Struthio camelus: one gene and its partner. The protein of the gene in region 1 purifies or fractionates together with the protein of each later gene. This does not show direct contact. Links are inferred from orthologs where the notes say so. Each region holds a gene or a part of one and is shown in the gene's direction. Other genes may lie near its edges.

What was found.
Region 2: the proteins of HADHA (region 1) and GPC1 purify together in Homo sapiens (co-immunoprecipitation; 3 studies listed by BioGRID and IntAct, with this or other methods). This does not show direct contact. The link is inferred for Struthio camelus from reciprocal best matches to the Homo sapiens genes HADHA and GPC1.

Annotation. Positions count from the first base shown.
Region 1 is NC_090944.1:1,814,107-1,826,148, reverse strand, and holds the start of HADHA (trifunctional enzyme subunit alpha, mitochondrial), read left to right. Parts: upstream 1-7,544; 5' UTR 7,545-7,612; coding exon 7,613-7,700; intron 7,701-12,042. Other genes in the region: HADHB (trifunctional enzyme subunit beta, mitochondrial), read right to left, coding at 999-1,098, 2,414-2,458, 3,086-3,185, 4,703-4,744, 5,124-5,190. UniProt on the Homo sapiens protein: Mitochondrial trifunctional enzyme catalyzes the last three of the four reactions of the mitochondrial beta-oxidation pathway.
Region 2 is NC_090950.1:8,217,386-8,229,419, reverse strand, and holds the start of GPC1 (glypican-1), read left to right. Parts: upstream 1-7,605; 5' UTR 7,606-7,841; coding exon 7,842-7,998; intron 7,999-12,034. UniProt on the Homo sapiens protein: Cell surface proteoglycan that bears heparan sulfate. Binds, via the heparan sulfate side chains, alpha-4 (V) collagen and participates in Schwann cell myelination.

The DNA of each region.
Region 1 (12,042 bases):
CTTTCAAACACACATTGTTCTTGCTTCCCCTTATTTGCAAAGGCAGCACACGAAAAGAATTATTTAGATAGACCTCTGAGTACAAGGCACTGTGACTTGCTCTGAACAGAACAGAAAACACTTCCTGTAGTTCAAACTCGCCAGAAAGAAGTGTGTCATTTGACCCAGCTGAGAGCACAGGCTCCCATCACAGGAGAACTGCCTGCAGGAGGACCTTCCCTAGTTGAGACATGGCCAACTAGTTTAAAGTTCAACAGTTCTTCCCAGGTTAAAATTAAACCACAGCTTCATCTGACTGGCATGTGACCAAAGCAAGTATTTGCACATACAAGGATAAAGCTGCCAACGGAATTGGAGTTACTGATCACCTCGTAAGTCTTTCCACGACGGGTTACGTAATGCTCGTAACACTTTTGGGTGGTTGCAAGGAATATCAGGAAAGGCTTCAGACTACAGAAAAATCACATGTCATCTCCATAACATTACTTTAGCGGAGCAGGTTCTTTCTCTGTGCAAGATATGAACTGTGGTTTTTTGCCTGCCAGAAGAAAGGGCAGCCAAGCGACTACGTTTCAAATCATTCAAACGCTGCATTTGATCAGCCAACTAAAATAAATAAATACCACAATATAGAAACGTATCACAGCATGCTCGGATCCTCTCAAGTACTTCTGGCAAGCCAGCATTCAAGTCCAACCGGCAGTAAGAGTTGAGTGATCAGCAATCATTAACAATGTTTGCTAATCATTAATAAAAGCTCCCCTTTAAGGGAAGAATCAAGCTTCACAGCATCAAAATAAACTTAATCTCTGGTAGATTTCAAGAGGAGGCAGAGTCCCACACAGCTATTTTATGGACAATACTACTGCTCAACTAGCTTATATTCCCAAACCATGTTTAAACGAACTGCAAAAATAGATTATCTTTCATAAGGTTTTGTTATCTTTATGCTAGCTGCTTAAATCAGGCTTACAGGAGAAATGCTGCACATAACCCACCTCTCTGGCAACATTACTTGTTTTCACTTCCTGGATAACTGTGCCGTAAACAATGTAATCAACAGCATCTTTTGGGACACTGGTCCGATTCAACAACCCTCTGAGAAGAGAGAAACAAACAGAATTCGTACCAGGTAAGCAATAACCTCACCACGGTTTTCAAACATCCATCTTCTACCAGCTGGGCCAGAGAACCAAGGCAACAACAGAGCTACGTGTTGTATCCCTAATTCAGAAGAAATCTTTCACGCACATATACTTGATGAAAGATGCAAATGACTATAGACTGCAAATAATCATAGCAATAATATCACTATATAAATGACTACACAGATAGTTTCATGAAAGCAGTTACTCTTCTTTCCTCAGAGAAGCGGCTGTTAATACCTTCCCTAACTCAGAGCATTCTGATATCAAAATTAAAGGAATAAGGGCTTAGGGATAACAAAGCCGATTACCTTCGGTGTAGGAACATGTATTAGTCTCATAAAGACACACAGAAAATGAGCAGTTAAGTTTTCACAGTTCATTAGAAAACATATCACACCATTTGCCAAAACATCTTGGCAAATACGCTAAGACAGCAAATCCCATTGGGGGTATTCATTAAGGCTAGTGCGATTCAAATGTAGTTTCATGCATTACAAAAACACCAAACAAAAGTAAAAACATCTCAATAAAGACCTCCTCTCCAGCAGTGCACTAAAACCACCTCAGCCTTCAATCTCTGTGGCACAGCCCTCACACACTTGACACACTGCATGTCAACCTAATTGGCCTTCCTCTGGCTCCCCAAAGATGACATTCAGATTTGGCACGACTGCACCCAACCCCACACCTCACAATCCTTCCTTGTGACTTGAAATCTCCATGCCCCCCAAGTCATGCCTTGTCAACAGTACTCTTCTCGACAGCATGTCCTGTTTTTGCCCTGTTTCTTAATTAAAAAAACACGGCTAGTGACCTACAGCTCTTGTCAAATCACAGCAGGATGGAAGCAACGTGCAAGACAACAGAATTAGCTTGTTACTCTCCGTCTCACTTAGTTGTCTTTGAATCACCATGTCACTTAGATGTCTCTGTCTTGAACTTTAGGCACACTGAGATAGTAGCTATGACCTCTGTATTAGAAAACCATACACAGTCAGAATCCAAATCAAGTGAAATTAAGTCAAACAACACAACAATGCAATCTCCTTTTAACAATACTCTTTTGCACGAGTCTATTGTACGCTCTACTGATTGAACCCCCTACTAAGGCAGTGGCAGACCACGAAAAATGAATCACTTGGATCGTATTGTTTAGCAACAAAACTAGAACCTTGGCTCTCAGCTTAGCTGAAGTCACTGTACCAGCACCCTGGAGTCCAGCAGAAGACAATTTTTTGGGCTCTTCTGACAGTCCATTTACTTACTGCAATGCTGCTCTGGCTAAGTCATGTGGCATAAGATCCGCATACCTGGAAGTTCAAGGAGAGAGGCAGAAACTTAGTGTCAGAAACCAACGCAGGCGTCTTCTTCACTGTAAGTGCACACCAGCAGCACAGAACTGGTGAAGACACCAGAAATGCTCTGAATCACAGGGACAGTGCATTCATAAGCAAACATTTCATAGCTGCGGTTACAAAGACTATCTAGGTGTAAGTCAGCATACGTTCACTATACTAAAGCACTGAAAAGCAACAGTAATAGAATAAAGATATTCCTTCTGGTCCTAATTTAGCTGTGATTTTGGTGGTATAATAGTCTAATAAGAAGAGTCTGCAGCAGATTCTCCGCCCCTGTCCTGCTAGTTTTGTGAAACGCTTTGCTTTATCTGCTACAGGGGCATCAATGGGCTCCTCCAGATGTGCAGCACAAATCTGCATTCTCCTTTGAATTCATATTCATGGCCAATCTTCTTCAAGCCACGTTTTTTCATAATATAAGCTGGAAAAACTGTCAGCAGCCTAACTTTGCCATCTTAGTATTTTTATGTACAAAAGTAACTATATTGAAATCAACATAGCAAACCATATTCCACATTTTCCACCAAAAGATTCTACTATTAACCCAGTCAAAGTATTTTCTTATTATTTTATACTTACGAGGTGCCAGACTGCAAAAATGGAATACGGACACCCTCTACCACAACAATATTCTTCACGCCACTTTTGGCTAATGTCTTCTTACTCTTCGGCTGGACTGCTTAGAGAGAAGTTTAAGTAATTATTGCCAAGAATATGAGCAAGCTTAAAGCCAGATCCTGTTAGAGCTACTAGAAAACTCAGGAAAGAGTCCCCTTTGGTGCATAAGACAAAAGTAGAGTAGGTAGGAGATGCGAGGCAAAATCTTGTCCCTGTCTGGTTGAGCATGCCGTTTGTGAAAAATGGTTTAACAACACAGAATTTCAGCTTCCCTCATCAGCAGAGAGATTCATCCATAGCTATATCGAGGCAATGGCACAGCTCAGAATAAAGGAACATAATCCTCAAACTCCATTACTACTGACAAAAATATCGCAGGAAAAGACACCTCCAAGAATGCTGAATGACTTAGGATATAAATGAGGCGGACCAAATTCAAAGACGAGCAACCAGGGTAAGACCTCAAAGTCTTTCACTCGGGAAGCAACAAGGACTGGAAACAATCCACCTTCCATAGCAATTGCTCACTTATGTGCTCCTATTGCACAGCAAAGGTGAGATAATTCAGAGTAAATAAAAACACAGTGCAAGAAGTCAACTAACTTTCACTTCCATAGGAAAGTACTAGCAAAAAGAGGGCACAAAGCTGTTGTGGGTAGCTTGCTACTCCCTCATAATGCCTGGGAGTATCTCAGGTTTGAGACAAAGCAACGCCATGATACAGCATCATTTAATACACCACTGTCAGTGCTGTTCTAGAGAGATGATTAACAAGGAGCTCAATGAGAATTTCCTAATGCAGTCAGGTTTACAATTCTTAACCAGCAGACACAGCAGCATGAGGCAGCTGCATTTACAAGCCAGAAAAGGAAAAGGCATGTAAAAGCAGATTAAATCCAGCTAAATACTGTGCTCAAGCAAGTGAAAGCACAAGTATGAAACTCCAGCACTAAACTTGAGTCATATAAGAGGGTTCTCCAGATGAAGCTAAGGAGACAAGCGGGGGCTGCTGTCTTTTTGCAATCCAGGCAGCTCAAAGCATCACAGTCACCTGAGTGACCCCAGAACACATCCCAGAACCCCACACTACCCAAACGGCTTAAAAACACACACATCTAACAATCAATGTAATTGTGCACACTAAGCCGCTCTACTGAGACCTGAGCCTCTCATAGGTCTTACTGGACCTTTGAGCTAATTCCACAAGCCTCTCTTAGTCAGGGGCAACCTCCACCCCTCCCGGGCAAGAGACTTGGTTATAACCAGACAGCTTATAACCTCCTAGCTTAGCCTCTCTGTCTAGGATCCTAGAAATAGCAATCTATCAGGTGACAATGTGGCACGAGCTTCAGACCAGGCACAGTTGTTGGGGGTGAGGGAGATTCAGATGTTTAGAGGACTCTTTATTGGAAACACTGTTTTGCCTGTAGCTTTACTTTTTTGCAACTTTAGAAGGGCCCTCTAGAATTAACGAAGTCTGCCTTGTGTTTCTGAGATCTATGTAGAATGAGTATCTGGAAAAGGGAGGCAGCTTCAAAAATAGTCTCTAATAGAAACCCACTGAAGCTTTCACTTTACCTGCTGCCTGTAACTGTGAAGAGCAGCTGAGTGATCTTGCAGCTGAAAAACAAGAACCACAAAAGGAGCATTTATCAAATTATAATTATAAAAACATTTCTATTTATTTTTGTAAGAAACGTTAAAAAAAAAGAAGTTCCAATACAAGTGCACCTGAATATCTGCAAGGTTTTTTTTTTAAGTTACTGTGTTCATAAAAACAACATAGTACATATTACCAGTTAACATGAGATTCCTCCCATATTGGGAGATCTGGGAAACAACAAATACGTCAACAACAGAATTAGTTGTTTAAAAAAAAAAAAAAACCATAACGTAACAGAGATTCAGACAAAAGTGTCCCTGCCAAACGTAATGCTTAAAACAAAGAGAACTTTATGACCTACCAGTTCAAGTCTCTAATGAACATAAAGATACTTACAGACCCTGGCAGCCCATGCTGAGGAAGCAGGGAGGTTTCTGATGATATGGGTCAGCATGGAAGTCATCTTGAGGTCTAGAGAGGTGAAGAAAGACTGCTATTAGTCCAATCTGGCTTATTCAGAACAATTTCAAGGTAAGCATACTGCTTGATTCACACAGAGCCAAAAAAGCAGAGGAAGAGAAGACACATCAAGGGCAGTCAAGTGCAGCAGCACAGGGAATTACATTCTGTTGTACTTTCTGAACAGCATCTAGCACGTGAGAAGTCTGACTTATGACTGCGGCTTGCAAACATTGCTGTAAATAAGCAGTCATCTCGCTGATGACCCAGCACTGTACTATCACTATCAGCAGCGCAGCAGCCAGCACAGTTTTAGATTCCCCTCGCAATACCCGTTCCACCACTTCCCCGCTGGAAAATTGTCCCAGAGCCCAGCCAATCTCCCCGCCAGCATGACTCTCCTAACGCGCGCTCCTTGGCGCAACCTCGTGCCGCTGCCCTGAATTTCAACTGCTGACTCTGAGCTCAGTGACTTTCGTGGCGTATCCCCACGGGAAGCAGAACGAGCTGGCCACCGCCACCCCAAAAGCTTCCCCCAGCGGCTTTCTCCGTGCTCGTTCCGCAGCGGGACCGCAAGGCTTCCCTGCGGACAAACCCCCAGCCGCGCTTCTTCCTGCGGAGGGCCAAACCGGCCCCTGCTGCTCCTGCTCTTCAGCTGCCTCCGGATAAGACGCGCCTCATCCTGCCACGCTTTTAACGCTTAACACCGCCCCCCCCCCCCCGCACTACACACCCACGACTCACACCCCACAGCCCTGGCGCGTGACAAACACCCCTTCACAAACACCACGGGCGCACATGCATGTCCACACACCCACACACACCCCCTCACACCCCCCCACACACACCCTCATACTCCCCATACCTGCCCACACCCCTACACGCATCCCCACACCCCCTACGCACACACCCCACACACCCCCACACCCCCCTACACACCCACCCCTACACGCACCCCCCATATCCCACACACACTCCCCCCACACCTACACCCCCCACACCCCTACACACCCCCCCACATCCCCACACCCCCCACACTCCCCCCCACATCCCCACACCCCCCACACACACTCCCCTCCACACAGACCCCCTACACCCCCCACACACCCCCCACACACTCCCCCCCACACCCCCCCACACACACTCCCCTCATCCCTACACCCCCCTACACACACACCTCCCCACACCCCCCCCACACACTCCCCCCCACACACCCCACACACACCCCCCACACACTCTCCTCCACACACACCCCACATCCCTACACCCCCCCACACCCCCCTCCGCACACACCTCCCCACACCCCCCCCACACACTCCCCTCCACACACACCCCACATCCCTACACCCCCCCACACCCCCCTCCGCACACACCTCCCCACACCCCCCCCACACACTCCCCTCCACACACACCCCACATCCCTACACCCCCCCACACCCCCCTCCGCACACACCTCCCCACACCCCCCCCACACACTCCCCTCCACACACACCCCACATCCCTACACCCCCCCACACCCCCCTCCGCACACACCTCCCCACACCCCCCCACACACTCCCCTCCACACACTCCCCACATCCCTACACCCCCCACACCCCCCTACACACACACCTCCCCACACCCCCCACACACCCCACACACACCCCCCACACACTCTCCTCCACACACACCCCACATCCCTACACCCCCCCACACCCCCCTCCGCACACACCTCCCCACACCCCCCCACACACTCCCCTCCACACACACCCCACATCCCTACACCCCCCCACACCCCCCTACACACACTCCCCCCCACCCCCCCCACACACTCCCCTCCCCACACACCCCACATCCCTACACCCCCCCCACACACTCCCGTACACACACACCTCCCCACACACACTCCCCCCCCCACACACACCCCCACACCGACCTACACGCCGCTGTCTCTCACACACCTCTGGACGCCTCACACCCGCAAACCCCACTTCCGTCCCGCGTCCCCCCCCCGCCCCATGAGGTCCGTCGCCGCCGTCGCCCGCGCACCTCCGGCCCGACCCGGCCCCGCCGCCGCCGCCTGCGCCCTCCTGCCACCACCGCCGCCACCGCGCTGCCACTCTGGAAGGACCCCGCTCCCCCCGCCCCGCGCGGGCTGCCCCGACGCGCGCCTGACCGACACGGCAGCCCTGACAGCCCGGCTGTCCGCCTTCCCGCCGCTCCGCCCGCCCGCTCCCGTTCGGAGGAGGTGAGGGACGGTCGAGGCGCCGCGGGGAGAAGAGTGGAGCGAGGAGGGCGGGAGCGGTTGGCGGCGGAGGGGGAGCGGTTGGCGGCGCGGGCAGGCGCGGGCGGGGCGGGGCCGGGAGGGAGGGAGGGACAGGGAGCGCCGAAGGCCCCCGGCGGCGCCCGCGACGCTTCTCCCTCACTCGACCTCGCGCGCAGCAAAGATGGCGGCCGCGGTGCGCGCTATCGGCAGCCTGGGGCGCTTCATGGCCGCCGCCAAGCACTGCCCGCCCCGCCGCCAGCGGCCCCCGGGTGAGCTGCGGCGACGGCAGCGTGGGGCCCCGCCGCCGGGCCGGGAGCGAGCGAGCGGGCGGTTGGGAGGAGGAGGAGGCGCGGCCTCCCGGGGCGGTGCCCACGCGTGTGCGTGTCACTGAGGGGCGCTGTGGGGGCACGGAAAGCACCTGGCGGTGGGGCCACGCACGGGGGGGGGCACCGGGAAGTGGGGCCTCGCGTGTGTGTGTCCCCGGGGGGGTGCCCACGCGCGTGCGTGTCCCCGGGGTGGGGGGGGTGAGGGACAGGGGTTACTGAGCTCATGTATGTATGTGTCACTGTGAGGGATTAGGTGTCACTGGGAGGTGTCGCTGAGGAAGGGGGGGGTCTTCTTAGGAGGCATCCACGGGTGTTCGTGTTTCTGGGGGGCTCTAGGGAGGGGACAGCCCCCGTATGCCTGTGTCCCTGGGGCGGCTGGTGTCCCAACAGCCGGTACCTGCCCGGGGGGGAGGGCGTCCAGGTGTCCCCCCGCCATCCCCCAGGTGCGCGGGCGTCCTGGGGGACAGCGGTGTGCCTGCACGTGTTGGTGTCCCCACGCGGGACGTGCTCCCACGCGCCTCCCTGGGGCGGCGTCCCCATGTCCTCGCCCGCGGGCACGTTTTAGGCTAGAGGGTCCCTGCAGCCCTGCGAGCTGACCCTACGGGGAGGGGGTGTGCGCTCGCGTCCTGGCACGCTGCGCGTGTCCCCAGTATCCGTGCGTGGCGGGGTGGGGGGGGGGGCGTCCCCATGCCCTTGCGCGCGGGTGTCCTGCGGCTGTCCCCCAGGAGCGGTTTCCCACGCGTGCCCACGGCAAGGGGTGTTCTGCCCCCGCCCGTGCGTGCGTGCCCCCCCGGGGGACAGCTCTGTCCTTGGGGGTCTGTGCGCGTGGCCCTGAGGGGAGGGGGCCCCCGTGTCCCTGCGTGGCGGAGGGAACGCACCGTCCCCATGCGTGCCTGTGTCTGCAGGGGCCTCGCCAGCTGTCTTTGGGCCGCGTCTAGGTCACGTTTAGAAGCGTCCCGGTCATCGACCGCTGCTCCGTTGCCATCTGCTGACTGAGCCCGAGCCCCCTCCTGCTTGGGCGCGATGGCTGCTGGCGGCTGAGTCTTGGTGCTTTGTCCCGGAGGTACCAAAGAAAGGAGTTGCAAGGTGCCCCTGGGGAGGGCCTAAGGTTAAGACTTATTAGAAACAAGCTCTTATTTCTCTGCTTTGAAGGGCCTTAGGGTCTGGTGTCAATGTAGAGCTGAAGTCAGGCAGTGTTTCATTTAAGCCTAATGCCTGTTTTACATGCAGGATTGGAGCAAGTTTATATGTGACTTCATCGCTAGAAGAGCAGAGCACTGCAACTGATAACGAGCAGATCGGTAGTAATTCCAGAGATTGCTTAAACAGCCTCTTGTGGGCTTCTCATTATAACTGGCAATATTCTTCATTACAAATACTTTGTTCCGGGAACGCTGTCAGGACTATCTGTCTATCTATCTGTGGCTAATGTCACGTCATGCGACATAATTAATAGCAGTCTTTCTACGTGTTGTTCTTCCGTAACAACGTATTTGCCAAAACGGATGCGAATCTATCACGGGCAGCCCAAAAAAGAACTGCAAAAGGCAGTAAGTAGGCAGAAGGCCGTGCAAGCTTAAGAGCTAGCCTTACCTGCTCTTCCGTATGTATATGTATATTATGTATATATCATACCATATGCTGACAGGTTCCCAGAGGTGGTAGTAAATAGCTCAGTTTGTTGGAAGTTTCCCGTCTTGCGGCTCGCAGTTCAGTGCTCAGTGCGATCAGCTCGCAGGTACAGCCGTCTTCGTGAGCTTCAGCTCTTCTGTTCTGCTGGCGCTTGCCCAGTCCAGGACTACAAGAAGCCTTTCCTCGTGAACCATCTATGGACGATGTTCCCCCTTCAAGTGATGTGCTGCTTCGGGGGGAATGGAAAGGCAGGAAGGGGAAGTGCAGGACAAGGAAGCAGCCAAGGAAGTGACAGAGGAAAGAGAAAGTGGGACGAAACAGGTCCCAGCCAGATTGTTTGAAAGGGGGCTTTTCCATTCCCTGCTTGCTTCTGAAGCTCTCTGCTAAATCCTGAGAACAATTTTCTGAAGTGTTTGGTGTTCCTTTGTACAGACAGTCTTTCATTTGTCCAAAGAGCAAAGAATGTGAAATAGTGAAAATTGAATATATATTCAGGGCTTTTAGTTCTAGAATGAACATTAATAAAATGGCAGAAATGTACATCTGGCCTGCTGTTATTCCTACAGAATTTGGAAGAGGTTTTTTCTGGCTTCAATCTTGGCAAGTTATCACAGCTCCTTCTGAATGAAATCAAAACCTAAAGCAGTTGTACTGTGACTGCATAAATGTGCTTTTAATTTTAGACGTAGAAATTGTTTTCCAAGAGTATACTGGACCCTAAAATAAAATATTGTCAAGAAAAACACACAGAAAGTTATAATTAAAAAAAAAAAACCTCACTCAAATAATAAGCAACTGTTACTCTAACAGCAGTACGTTTCCCAAAAGAGCTTATATTGAAACGCGGTGAGGTTTGTTCTGTCTTGCCCTTGATGATTTTTTTTTCCTGCTCTGTATCTGTTGTTTTAAAACTGAAAGGTAAAGTGGAATTCAAGGTTTAAAATTTTCTTGGAAAATTTTCCTTCCCCCACCCCACCTTTAGGAGGTGCCTGACTGAGGGTGTGGGAGGAAAGCATTATCACTTGATCTGCAGCTGGGATGTTTGTTTGATCTGATTCTCGTTCCTGCCATGCCTGTCACTATGGAGTAATACAGGGATTAAAGTGAAGACGTTCAGTAGGATTGTTCAGTGCTCACCTGGCTAATGTAGTGGAGTTGGATGGGCAGCCTGCTCTAGGTGACCCTGCTTGAGCAGGGGGTTGGACTGGATGATCTCTGAAGGTCCCTTCCAGCCTCCACCATTCTGTGATTCTGTGGGTGGCTTGCTAATTGTGGTATTTTAACCCAATGAAGTGCATCGGATTCTGCTGAGGTGCGTACGTCAGTGGAGAAACTGTTGGCAGACAATGCTCTGTTTTGTGGAAAATGAGAGCTGGTGCTTCGTTCCAGGAGTACCCGACTTTAGTGCACAGAAAGTCTAAGGAAATTAATGTTGACCTGAGTAATTGCAGTCTGGGCCTTGTTCAGGCCCATAAATATTTTAAAGCCGCTTTGGAGTGGAAACCAGTTCACGCTTTGTTTATAAAATGGTATCGCAAGTACGTGACCCCCTGCTCCCATCAAAGAGAAGTCTGTTGAGACGGACTGACACACAGTTTCCATCCCCAGCCCGTGGCATCCTGCCAGGTGTCCTGGGCTTGGGGAATGGAGCGCAAAGGTCATTCCCCAGTGCCAGCACCTGTGACAAAGTGGAAAGAGGGTCAAAGTGCAAAGGAGCTCTAGCCCCGAGCCCGTGGCCCGGGGCTGTGGGGAGGGAAGCGTGTCTGTTTGCGAGGTGCAGGCCAAGGTTTTAAGGTTGTTTTCGTTCTCCTGGGTTTTCTGCCTTCTTGCTGCTGGGACAGGGATTGTTTCAGCCCCGAGCGTTTTACCAGTGCTGCGTAGTAAATGGCTGTGTTCCAATTGGTAGGTGTACAGTACGTTGCTTAAGAAGTAACACTTTTAGACTTTGAGAATTCAAACAGCTTTGGCAGAGATTCAGCCTAGATCTGCGTTGGGTGATCCTCTCAGTCAAGATCAAGGTCGTTTGAACAGAACTGAGACTCGCTTGCGTAGTGAGAGATCATCAGGCAGAATACAAATTCTTGGCAGGAAAGGGGAATCTGGGATATTTGTGCGAGTAAAGTAGCATTTCACTGTTATACAGATTTTGGTCATCCCTCGTGCTGTTTTTTCAGAGCAAGTTTCAAAACAAGACAAGTTTGTCTAGGTACTTGCGTATGTAATTTGTAGAGATGGATCAACCATTGCCTTGATAGATTGTGGAGGAGAGAATAAACATTGTGTGCTGTTTCTTTGTGGCTTAACAGCTATGTTTCCTGTGATCTGTGCAATAACACTTGGAATGCCAACATTTACAGGCATAGTAGTGCATTTTTGCAGAGATATTCTAGGACATTTCTATTTAGTCTGGGGAGAACTTTATACGCAGGCTTGAAAGTGTCCAAAGGGTGGTAAGGTCTCTCTAATTTAGCATGTGAAGAAGTGTTGAACCGTGCACGCCTAATGTCAAAACCCCTCCGTAGGTCCCCTGCTTAATCTGTTGTCAGCTCTTTAGTAAAAAGGTTTTGATTTTTGCCCTCAGTTTGGCATTCCTGTTATTGGAAAGTCCCGTGTGGGATCTGTCCTGCCAATGTCACTTCAGTAGCATGGAGTC
Region 2 (12,034 bases), on another chromosome or scaffold:
ATTGCTTTGGTTTAATAATAAGTTATTGTTCTAAGGACGTGTGGTTTATGTATACTGCATCAACAAATAGTATTTGTTAGCTGCTACTGCCCTGGAAGGAAAAGGAAACACAACGCATTCGGCTGCTTGTGTTTTTGTAAATCCCACATCAGCATTTTCAGGTTCCTTGATAAAGGAAAGGAGGCTCTCTTCAGCTTGGACTCTGAAAGATCATCTCTATCAGAGTGAATTTGTTTTCAGAGACGCTTAATATTGGGAGGAAACTGTAATAGTGTCTCTTCGGAAAACAAACAGGCAAACAACAGGAATACTTTGTGGGTTAGCAGTCATGGAAAGGAGTCAAACCCAGAAAATCTGGCTCCGATTTTAGTCTCAATTCTGAATCTGTGTTAAAATCTGTTCAGGGCACAAAAACATCAGTCTAGATAATGCTGTGGAAGTAAAGTTGTTATAAGCTTTTCTCTCCCCCTCTTCTCCTTTAGCTCTAGCAAGGAAAAATCAGGAAGTTAAGAAAGGGAAAAGAACAGTGTGGACAGAGCAGCACACAACAGCCACAAATAATCCAATATTTCATAATTTAATTTCACACTCCCTAGGCTGCAGAGGCATTACGGACTGCGGGGAGAATAATCTTAAGAAGGGCGTTGGCTTGGCAATGGGAACATCAGAGCTTACAGAGGTCTGGCAGCTTTCTCAAAGTAAATGTGTGTCCCTCCCTCTCCCTGTCCCTTCCGTATAGATTAAAGTGACCTCTGGAGATAAACTGTACTGAACCGCCCCAAGTGGTTCCGCAGTGTAGCTTTTATTTGTACAGTATGTGAAAGAAGAGTTCAAATTAAATTCCTGGCCTTTCAGAAAAGTTTGTCTGTTCCTTAAAAAAAAAAAAAGAAAGAAAAAAGGCTATTTTATTTTAAAGTCGGAGCTTCTTTCATGGTCCCATGATCTCATGAGCTCTTCGGCTGGCCTGTGACCTTTCAACCTTGCACTACATGTTTCTTTTCTAAATTAGCCAGCGTTGAGACCTCAATGGGGGAATATCGATGTTGTTATAAAAGGCATCGTTCTCTCCCAAAAATGTCAGCATGAGTGAGTCATTGCACCTAACTGCTTAGCTTTTGTAAGGCAGCAAGGAAGATTTGAAAGTGAGATGCAGGATCCCCCGTCCACCGACTTCTATTTAAAGTGCTTTAAAAAGCAACGTCCCTGGCATCGACCACAATAGAGGCAAAGGATCTCAGCTTTGCCCCTTTAGCCACGGAATAACGGTCCTGCCTGAGGCACAATTATGTATGCGATATAAAATTACATGGATACTGCGAACAACTTATTCTCAAGGCTATACTCAAAAGTAACACTGTAAGAAAAAAAAAAAAAAAAGTAAGACAGAATTAAGTGTGCTGGTGATTTCTGTCGTTTCTTACACCCAGGCTCCGTACATCTCCTTGTATTCATGCTCTCTGGTTTCTAGCAGGTTGAAGAAATGAAATCAGATTAAGAGCTCTATTTTTAATCTTCAGAACATGGGTGTGTGTCATCTGGCATCTCGGAAAATCCAGTACTGGATGTTTATGTGGTCCTGACAAAAGAAACTGTACACAGAGCGATACTAAGATCGCAAGCAGATGTTGGATTGTAAAGGCGCCAAATCCTCGACCGGGATAAATCAGTGTATCTTCACTGACATCGGACTATCTTCTGAAGGCTTGGCCTTCAAGCACCCTAAAATTCATGTAGCCATAGTGGATGCGTACACTGTATTTGTGTTGCAAAATGCATAGATCTTAAAATGAAAAACACGCTGGACCAGATCCATTCCAGATGTCACTTTACTTGTGTGCAGCATTGCATCAGAAGTAAAGCTGGCACACATCAAAAAATCTGTGTCACCTGGTAATTATCTTATTAACAACTCAGAGAAAAAGGCATGGGAAGGATGCGTTTCCAAACTCAAATTCAGTTTTTATCGTTTCTGTGTGAAACGCTGTCGAACATTTGCTGTTAGCTGTCCTTCCCGCTCACTGGGGTTTAACCCCAGCTTGCCCGTGCTGCTGGCTGACACCCCTTCGCAGCATCGCCAAAGTCCGTTGTGCAAAGCCCGGGAGCGCGAGAGCCTCTCCTTGCAACTAAAGGCGTTCGGTGCTTTTCAGCACCACAGAATGGGTGTTTCCTCATAGCCAATTTCTCTGTGAAAACAGCCTATGTTATATGTAACTGGATGTGAGGGAAAAAGTAAACACTTGAGCAGGACGTAAGATAATTCTGTTAATTCATTAAAGCGCTTTATGTAGTGTTTAATGTAGCATCAGCTGAGGATAACGCGTCGGCTCGAGGACGCTCTGTTAGCATTGCAGAACGGCTGGATTGCTGCACCACACATCTCTTTCTTTGTGGCTGTAGCTTTTTTTTTCCGCACTGAAGTGCACAGGATGCCTGACCCAGGTCCATATGCCTTGGACCAGTGCTTAGGTGCTGCTGCACTCGTAGGCGCGGAGTTTGCTCCTGCGGGCGCTTTTCTTAAGCCAGTGCCCAGCGACCAATGACAGACTGAGGGGAGATTTCTACTTCATAAAACCCTTTCAAAAACAGCCAAGCTCTGGACATAACCCTCTGAACGATAAGAGGAAGTGGTCCCAACTGTGGTTTTTGCAAGCAGGGGGAGAAATCTGTGTATCACTGTAGTGGCATGCTGAAAACACACATTTCTAACCTAGTAATTTTAGAGCCAGTTCTGAGCCATTTCATATATCAAGCTAAGCCCTGCTTTTATAAAACAGATTCAATACTGTGTCTGTATTCTTCATTCACTGTTACAAACTTGTTGGGGAGCTGGGAGTCAGGAAAGCTTTATTGAAAGTCATGTCCAAAAAGGATGAAATATATTTCCTGGGGCAGACCCAATTAGCAGCAGTTTCTCTAATGAGTTTTTGGCATATATTTATTTTTTGGCCTTTAAGACTGCTTTCTACTGGGAAATCTCTGAGGCACGTATGACACAAGCACGGTCCTACAGGGTGGAGTCGTTGGTAAGAGGTCATTACAGCCATGCATTCCTTTAAGTCACTGCTGGAAAAGTGGGTCGTTCAACCCGAAGCAGAGCACAGAGGGGCAATTAGCCAGATTCTCTGCCTGAAATTATTTGGTGGTTGATAATCTCACCCTACAGAGTACTAACCACACACGCTGGAATTAAGCATTGCATTTAAAGGGAGCTGGTCTGCTCGAATCGAGGGTCCAGCAGCAGCTAGGCTGAGCGTTGGTGTACCCTGCTGCAGCCCCCGTCCTCTTTTCCTCTTCCGCCGTGGCCAGAATTACGAATTTTCTTGCGCCGAGGTCTGACTTCTGGCTTGCTGGGAGCTCCGGTGCTGGGAAGGGTCCCCAGCTCTGTACATCTGTGGAACCATAGTCCTCATTAATTAGCACAGATACACAAATCCCAGCAAGTCTTAGCGCTTCGGTAGAGCAAATGGCTTCTCACGTAGTCAGCTGAGATCAAGCTGGATTTGTCAGTTGTACGTAGGTGACCCAGCAATTTAAAAGGATAGATTTCATATTTTTCTGTGACCAGAGCAATCACGTACGCTCTTCCTGCGCGTGTCCGAAAAGCTTCGGAGGGGTTTGTGTGCAGGAGGGGAGGAGGAGCTGCATGGGTCCCAGTGAGGACGATCCAGTGAAGAAGTCAGCAGCTGCAGATAGCAAGGTGTAATCTAGTAAATCCTCTGGATAACCTAATTAGATTTGATTCAGCAAAGCGCGTGTCCAGCTTGTGCTGAACAGCAGCCAGCCTGGGGGTGGGAGGAGCAGGGGGAGAGCTTGCCTGAACTCCTGCAGGAGCCGGATAGAGCAAGGATGAAAAGAAACAGGCAGAAGAGGTACTGATCTGCTCCTGCTTTGATGAAGGCTTTTAATCTCGAGGTGCCAGATTTTCTGAGGCTTCTGCAGAGTCAAATGTGGCATAAAACCGACTCAGGGAGAGGGGCTGAGGGTTTCATCGTGCAACACCCGCAAGGGAGAGAGAGGAAGCTATAGGCCGCGTAAGCTTTTCCCGGTTCCTTTCCTTTCGCCCTCCCCACTTCCTGTCAGCTCTGTATTTGATACACAATGAAAAAAGTAGACGGGGTCTGCCTACCGATTCAACAGGGTATTTGGGGTTTTGCTGCTCTGCTTTTGTGGTCAGACACTCGGTGGTTGTAGCTCAGCGCAGGTCCGTCATGGAGCCAGCTGGAGCTCTGGGGGATGCGATTGCTTTGCTGCCCCTGCAGCGCTTGATCTGCATTAGTTTGAAAAGAGCATGTCCATGGCGCTGTGAAACTTTCGGAAGTGCTGGAGAAAGAGAAGACGGACGAGAACCTGTGGAAGTCGAGACACTACAAAGCCTCCGCTCATTTATTTTTGAAAGGGTAACTTTCCCGGCTTGTGCCAGGTGATTTGGCTCCTCTTCATCATTCTTACCTCTTTGTAATGCTTGGATCAGCTTTTCAGCAGGCAGCACTTTTTGTCGGGGGCTGACAAGAGGTGATCGCCCCAGCAGGATGGATTTTCTGTCTGCCTCTGACTACCCTCCTGGCTGGCTGTGTGCTTTTCTCCTCTGCATTTTGTCTACTCAGCTTGTGCTTTACTTTGTTCTTTCTTTTCTGCCCCAATTCTAGCTCTTTCTGTGAGGTGCCGGACAAGCTTGCGTTCGCTTTTTGCCAAGCTCCGTTCTTTAAATTGAGCGTGTTCAGAAAGTGGATCTGATCTTCAAACGCACACGAAAGAAATGCGGTTTATAATGCACATAAAAACACATTTTCATCATGACGCTTGGAAGGTGTTGATTTCAGTTTGCTTAAAATGTACCCAGCCCAAATCCTGGGTATGCACACACGCCTTGCCAGCGACAGCAGCACACGCAGTCATGCCTCAGGACAGGCTGAAGATTTGCTTGCTTACGATTGTATCCTATAGAGACGCACAGATAGCTGCTGTGTCACACAGCTCATATCGATTATTTTTAAGCTGTCTTCTCATTATATATAATATGCTATATCTAATAAGTTTGTCATTATGATAGTATGCAAACACCTCACAGGCATGGGGTTGGGTAAGAAACACTGTTATCCCCATTCAGCAGGAAAGTCATGTGCTGAAGGTCACTTAATCAAGGAAATTCGTGGTACCTGCAGCTCTGCTTCTTGAGACGGGTTTGGCAACCAGCGGTGCAGTCTGCACTGGTGATTCGTACCCCAGTGCTTCCCCATGGACACAACAGGGTGACTCTGAACGAGCAGAGCGTGTGCTGCCGGCTCTCTGGATTTTATCAGGAATGACCTGACTTTAGTGTCTGTGCTACAGGCAGTGTTGTCCCCCAGCTCGGGGGAGCGAGATGTGTATGAACAAAGAAGATACTTTTGTCCGTAAAATGATCTATAGCTCAGGGGATGGTTCGCAAGGCCAAAAGCCGAGGGTTTCAGTCCCAGTTCTTCCCGTGTCAGCTGCCAACATGTCCGGGCACTCGCCAGCTGTGCGGTCGCGGAGGGCTTTGTTGTGCTGCGAGCTTGGGCACAGCCACGCCGCACTCCCACAAGGTGCTATCAGGCAGAGCCGGGGGCGAGCCCTGGGTGCACCGCAGAGGCAAGGATCCTACCTTGGGCGCGCAGGAGGAAAAGGGAAAATTAGGTACTGCTTGGGCTCCTGTGTCATCTTCCAGAGCAAATAAGAGGTTTGTGACTCTGCCTTTCTGCTCTTTTAAGTGCTCCGGCTCGGCAGTTTGCATTCGTGGAGTTCATTCCCCTCACCAGACCCGAGCAAGAGCGGTATTAGCTCTGTGCTGTAACTGTTTGACTTTCCCTCTGGAACCAGGAGGAGAAACCACGATCCTGGTGTTTCTGTACTCCTAGCAGTATGTATCCTTGCATGGATTCCGCCAATTTTCTGCTGGTTTTCCGCTGTTACTGTAGTGGGTTGAGTAGATGAGAGCTGTGACGTAGCTCTGTAAGGGCTGTATTCAAAGCCTGGGGTAGGGAAAGAGCTCTGACCATAAAATTACAATAAATAACCAGGAATAAGGGCTGAAATAAACTTGTTCCTCGTAATGAACTTAGAAACCTGTTAATATGCGCGGTACTCATGCACTTAGAAAAGAGAGGGTGGGTCAGACTTTACGTCCATCTGTGGCAGATTTTCCCACGTGTTTCCAGAAACAAGACCTTTTTTCCATGCTCTGGAAACCCCCCCGAGGAAGCTTCAAGCTCAGGCACAGCGAGTTGGGGGGAACTGAAAGCCTTGGTGCTAATGAAGTGGGCGACTGGGCTGTCAGTCGCCTCCGTGGGGTTCCTAACCTGTGCATCACTGATACACCTCTGATCAGCCCAGATGTCACTGTGGTCCAAATGGCCAGCTGCCCTGGCACTGGCACTGGCACACGCCATCGGTGCCCTGCACTAGACCGTGGATTTGTTTTTAGGTAGGGCCCTCATAACAGGACCCTCTTAACTCCACGGCCCAACAACGTCTCGCTCAGTGTCAACTCACTATTCTCAGTAAAGTTTCGGAGGGACTTGCAGACTGCTGTGTAGAAGCTGGGGGGAGCTAGCAAACCTGTATCGTGTGCGTGCTGAGGCTGGGCAAGGCTTGGGCATGGACATCCAGAGCCTCGAAGCCCCGTGTGATCTGTAGAAGATGATTTGGGAGATAGCACAGGCTCATATGACTCAGACTTTTTACAGTTTTAGCTACAGTGACATGTCATTTGAGCTCCTGTGATCTCTGTTAGAGAATTTTCCCTCTTTGCAGTCAGGTCCTCTTCATCTCTTAGGTTGCGTCTCATGGGTGACTTAATTAGGAAAAGTTCATAGGAAATCATTAGGCAATTTCACAGGAAAGGAACATCTTTCCTCTTCTCTCCTGCCATCCTTGCCCTCCCCGGGGCTGTTATTTTGCTGTCACTTCTTTCTCCTTCCTCGTTCCTCAGGAGAGCAAGCAGTCCCTGAAGCAGCAAGACGAGCGACCCGGCTTTCCTACGGATTTGCGCACGTCTGAGTGACTTGCCCGAAAGATGCAGTCTCCCATAGAATTTGCTGTTTCGGGGACCCTGCTGTACCTGGGGTGGGGCTTTCTGTGGGGCTTCTCTGATGTCTAGCAGGGTGCAAGCTCACCCAGGAGCCTCGGCCGGGGCGAGCGTGGGCCCTCCATCCGTCGGCAAGCGTCCTCGTTCCTGGCCACGAGCTGGTGGGCTCGCTCGTGGGAGCCCTCCGGAGGTGACCCGCCACGCGGGCGATGCTCGCGGGGACGCGCCGTGCCCGCAGGGGGACGACTCGGCCAGGGCCGCCCCTCTCGGCCCGCACGCGTCTCCGCGGGGCGGGGCGGGGCGGGGCGGACGCTCACCGAGGTCCCCAGGAGCTCCGCTGCTTCCCGCCGAATCACCGTCAAACAACCCAGCAAGCGGCGGCGGGGCGGGGCGGGGCGGGGGCTGCGCCCCGCGCGGGATTGGCGCGGGCGCCGTGATGCCACGTCCGGCGGGGGAAGCCCTGCCTCGCCCCGCGCCCCCGCGCCCCCGCCCGCCCGGCGCGCAGGTGGTGCCGAGCCGCCGCCGCCGCCGCCGCCGCCGCGCACGCCCCGCCCCGCCCCGCCCCGCCCCGCCCGCCCCGGCCCGGCGGCTCGGCAGCCGGCAGCGTCGCGGCGGGGCTGCCCGGGGCATGCAGCCGCGCTAGGAACAAAAGCGCTTCCGCGGGCCGAGAGCGCGGCGGCACTCGCCTGCCCGCCCCGTCCCTGCCGCTGCCGCCGCGCTGCCCGGGCAGCGGCCCCCGCCGCCGCGGGACCTTGGCGTTGCCCTTCGCGCGGCAGGTGGCGGGCAGCGCAGAAGGATGCGTTTCCTCCCGTGGGGACTGTGGCTGCTGTGTGTCGCCTCGCCCCCGGCCCGCGCGGACAGCGGCGGCAAGGCGAGGAGCTGCGCCGAGGTGCGGCAGCTGTATGGGGCCAAGGGCTTCGGGCTCAGCGGCGTGCCCCAGGCCGAGATCTCCGGTGAGTGGCGGGGGCCGGGGCCGGGGCCGGGGCGGGCAGCGCTCGGCGCCGCCGGGGCTCGGGGCATTGTCTGCGCCGGGCGCCGCCGTCCTGCTCCGAGGCTCCTGCTCGGGGGACGGGGGCGAGTGGAGCGGCGCGGGCAGCCTCGGGGCTGGCAGGCGCTGCAAGGCGAGCAGTGGTGGAGGAGGCATGGGTTTGGGGTTTGGGGTTTCTCCTCTCTTCTCACTCTTCTCTTTGCATGGGAGGCAAACCCTGGCACGGTGTTTTTGGCAGTTAGGAATGAAGCGGGGGGGGGGGGAAACGAGCCTGGGTCAGGTGTGTAATGTGTGGAAGGAACCTGGGCAGCCCGTGCCACCACGCGTCCTCTCGCCTTCGCCCACGGAGGGAGAGCGCGCTCTATTTTCTGACAAACAGTAGTAGACTTCCTTTGTCCAAAACCTCTGGAATATCAAAAGAATATCAAGGTCTAGTTCACAGGGTTGTTTTTTTTTTTTTCTTTCCTACAAGCCTGGGGAAAATATGCTATTTTTTATCTTCTTCTTTATTCTTGTCTAAGTTTTGATACACCGACTTGTGACCCATATCTGAGAGCTTTTGCCTCGCTTGTGGGAGCTTCCTCCTCCAGACAAAGCATGAAACATGCAGGCGTACGTGCCAAAGCCAACCTACAGGGACATCCCAGGAAAAATTGCGGTTCGTAGCTCGCATCTGAGCTACAGAATGCCTTATGCTGAATATCTCACAGGGTAGTTTTCCAGGGAAAGCAATTCGTCGTCTGACCCATGAATGGAAAAGACTGAACCGAATAAACGTCTTATAAATGTGAACAAATTAATACTTTCTTTGTCAAGTTGCAACCAAGAGTGAATTTCCAAAATCAAATGAGCAGTCCTTGAAGTTGAACAGTAGAGAATTTTGAAATCATCAGAACATCACTACTAATAGAATAATGATTCGGTTAAGCAAGAAGGTGGCTTTTTATAAATTTGCCTCTAATTATTACAAATGTGAATACATCAGCAGTCATGTGTTTCAGCTAGAAAGTACTGAGAAGACTACATGTTTATGGGTATTAATGGCGGTGGATCAGGTATTGCGTGGAGCAGTAGTACTACAGGAGCAGTTGTGTAGGATCGCGTGAACTGCATACTACAAGTATGGGGTAGCTGTTGCAGGTTATCTGCGAGTAAAACATCTTTTGCCTGCAGATTGCTCAGATGCAATAAGAGGTAACTGCGAACGTCAAGGTTTTGAGGAGCCGCAAGTCTTGTTTCCGAAGTGCTACTAGTGTGTATGTTGGCGGCCTTAAGCTAGGGGTAGTGAAAACTATAGTATCAAGCTGGGCATCTTTCACACTGTAAGCAGGGGGGAAACTGCCTGGATACGTGTTATAAAAACGTGAGGAATACCACATGGAAAATGCTTGAGGGAGAAGTTTCCACATTTGAAAAATGTGCTGCTGGAAATATTACACACTTGGTATTTGAAACAGCTAACAGACTTAGATTTTTGTTGGTAATTATCACGTGAAACTTCTAACTGATAAGTATTTGGGAATGCCCTTTTCTATTGCTGTAGCACTTATCCCATACGGGGAAAACTGCATGTTGATCGATACGCTTTATTATGGAAAATTTCTGAGGCTGACAGTAAAGGGTGGTGTTGTCAGGTGTACTTGCTAGCTGTTGTGCAGGTTAGAGCAGAAGTCAATGCTAGTTTCCGTGTCCCCCAAAGGGAGGCTCTCAAGACCTTCCTGCAGAATTCCCCCCTCACAAGTACAATATTGCACAGTATTGTAATTTTCAGCGTGCTTTTGAGATGTTCAGCCATCGCTTAAAAGCTAGTTTCAGCGGATTTAGTTAAGCGTGCTGACTGTGGGAGCTGTAACCTGTGTGATGGGAGTCTTGTCAGATTAGATGGGATTGGCGCCTATAAACGTCTACGTATCCACCAACAACAATTTTTGATTAAGTTTAAAAAAAACGCTGAGGATGCTGGTTCAGGGCTGGACCTGTGCTGGGGTCTCCTGAAGCTGGTCATCCCCCTGCGGCCGGTGGAGGTGCGAGCCGCCCCAAGTGCCTCCAGCTTTTGTGTCTTATTTTGAGCCCTCTGGAGGCAGCACCCCTTCACGTTCGTCCTCTCCGTGAGGATCTTGGTCTTCCCATTGCTGGTGACGGACGTCCTTTGAGTCCTGGGGCTATGCTCCAAGAGTGCTGTTGTGCTCCCACGGTGGCTCTGGGTGCTGCCAGGAGGGAGCAGCCAGCTCATGGGCCTGGCGTCTGGACCTCTTCCCCCCCCTTCAAAAAAACATGTCCTCCGCTCTAGTAGCATGGGCTCTGATGCACCCCGAAACGGCTGTGTGTGTTGGGTTTCGCACGTTTACAGCACACACTGCACCTTCTGATCTGTGTTCTTTGTTACGATTTAAGAGGATTATGACTAATATAAAGTCTCCACAGCTCAGCAGAAGGTGGCGGCTGCTTCTGACTGCTCAGCTGGGTTAGATCAGCAGTCGCGCGGTTCCTGTTATTAGCTGGCAAGGAGATAGGGATCTGATGCAGGGATAAACTCTCAGCCCGTCAGATTGCTCAAGAAACACCAAGAAAGGGGTTCCTGGTTTTCTTGCTGATGTTTGTACGGTGCCTATAACACGTTGGAGCACTCTAGATGTGTGAGTAGCTGTTATTAAATGGGGTTAGGGAAAACGCAAGGTGTTATATCTCGTCCCGTTGAAGTCAATGGGAAAATTCCCAAACACGAAAGCAGCATCTGCTCACGTTAGTAATCCCGACAAGCACGTGCACACTTGGCTTCATAGGTGAAGGTCTGCCAAGAGGAAAGTTTCAAATGCTGACGGAGATACTCCCTACCCTTTGGGTATGGGAAAATGATGGCCTTGGCTTCCTTAAGACGTACCGAGTTGAGCAAAGGGTTCCTGTGTGTTAGGGAGTGCTGCAGCTTCTGGTTGGATGACCCTCTTCCCCTTTCTGTGATCCCATACAAAATATGGGATCCCTTGTGGAGGGGGAAAAAAGAGTGAAGCTCCTGCAGAAAACATTGTGCTTCACGGGGACACGTCCAGGTTTGTCCACTGGCCGGACGGCGTGGCTTGGGATGACTGACATCCGATGGGTGACCCCTCCCAGCGGCTTGAGCAGAGATGGTTTCCTCGCTTGCTGGAGGAGGCTTGTGAGTTCTGCTTGCCATGGCTAGGCTTGGAACTTGCTTGCCGTCTAGGCTAGGCTTCTGCTTGTTTATCTCCAAGGTGTAACCTTCCTTGACTGGCTTCCTCTCTGGCTTGACATGGGAGATGGGCGTAACGCAGGAGAAGCAGAGCAGGGCGCAGAGTAAAGGCAGCCGGACTTTGCCGGGCAGTGTCACTGCTCATCTGGTTGCCTGTGTCAAGCACGTGCTTTGCTGGCTGCTTAGCTGAAAGGAATCAGAACCGTTTGTTTTCATCTCCCAGTCCTTTTGGGCTACCTAACCCTGCTTTGTAAGGGAAACGTTGTCAAGGGCGTGTATTAAATAGTCGTTGGAGAAGAGCTAGCCGGGGAAAGAGCAGGCCTGGCAATTTCGCCTTGGTAGAGAGCTGGACTTGGTGAGGCTCTCGGAGTCCAGACAGGGTAATGAAACCCAATTTTGGAGGGCGTTTTAAGTTCCAGCAGTTGCAGTGTACAAGGCGTAAATACAAAGATGGGCAAAACTGCATCGGTGGTCTTAAAAAGAAGAATCTGGGGCTCCTTATCTCCCTGGGACAGATCTTTACTGCTTGAGTTAAAGGGGAGCCTCCGTTGCTCCAGCACTCTTGGAGGTTGTTGTTGTATTTGGTTTGTAACTACGAAATGCAGATGTGATTTCTCAAGGGCAGCTAGATGGTGAACTCCTGAATGCAATATCAACCTGTTTATGCTGATGAATTTAAGGGCAAATTGGAGTGTCCTTTGTAGCCTGCTTGGTTTAGAGGGCCATTTTTAATGAAACCAAGCACGTTGACTGGTGCCTCTTCTCCGTCTGGCAAGTATATTGGTGCAAATGC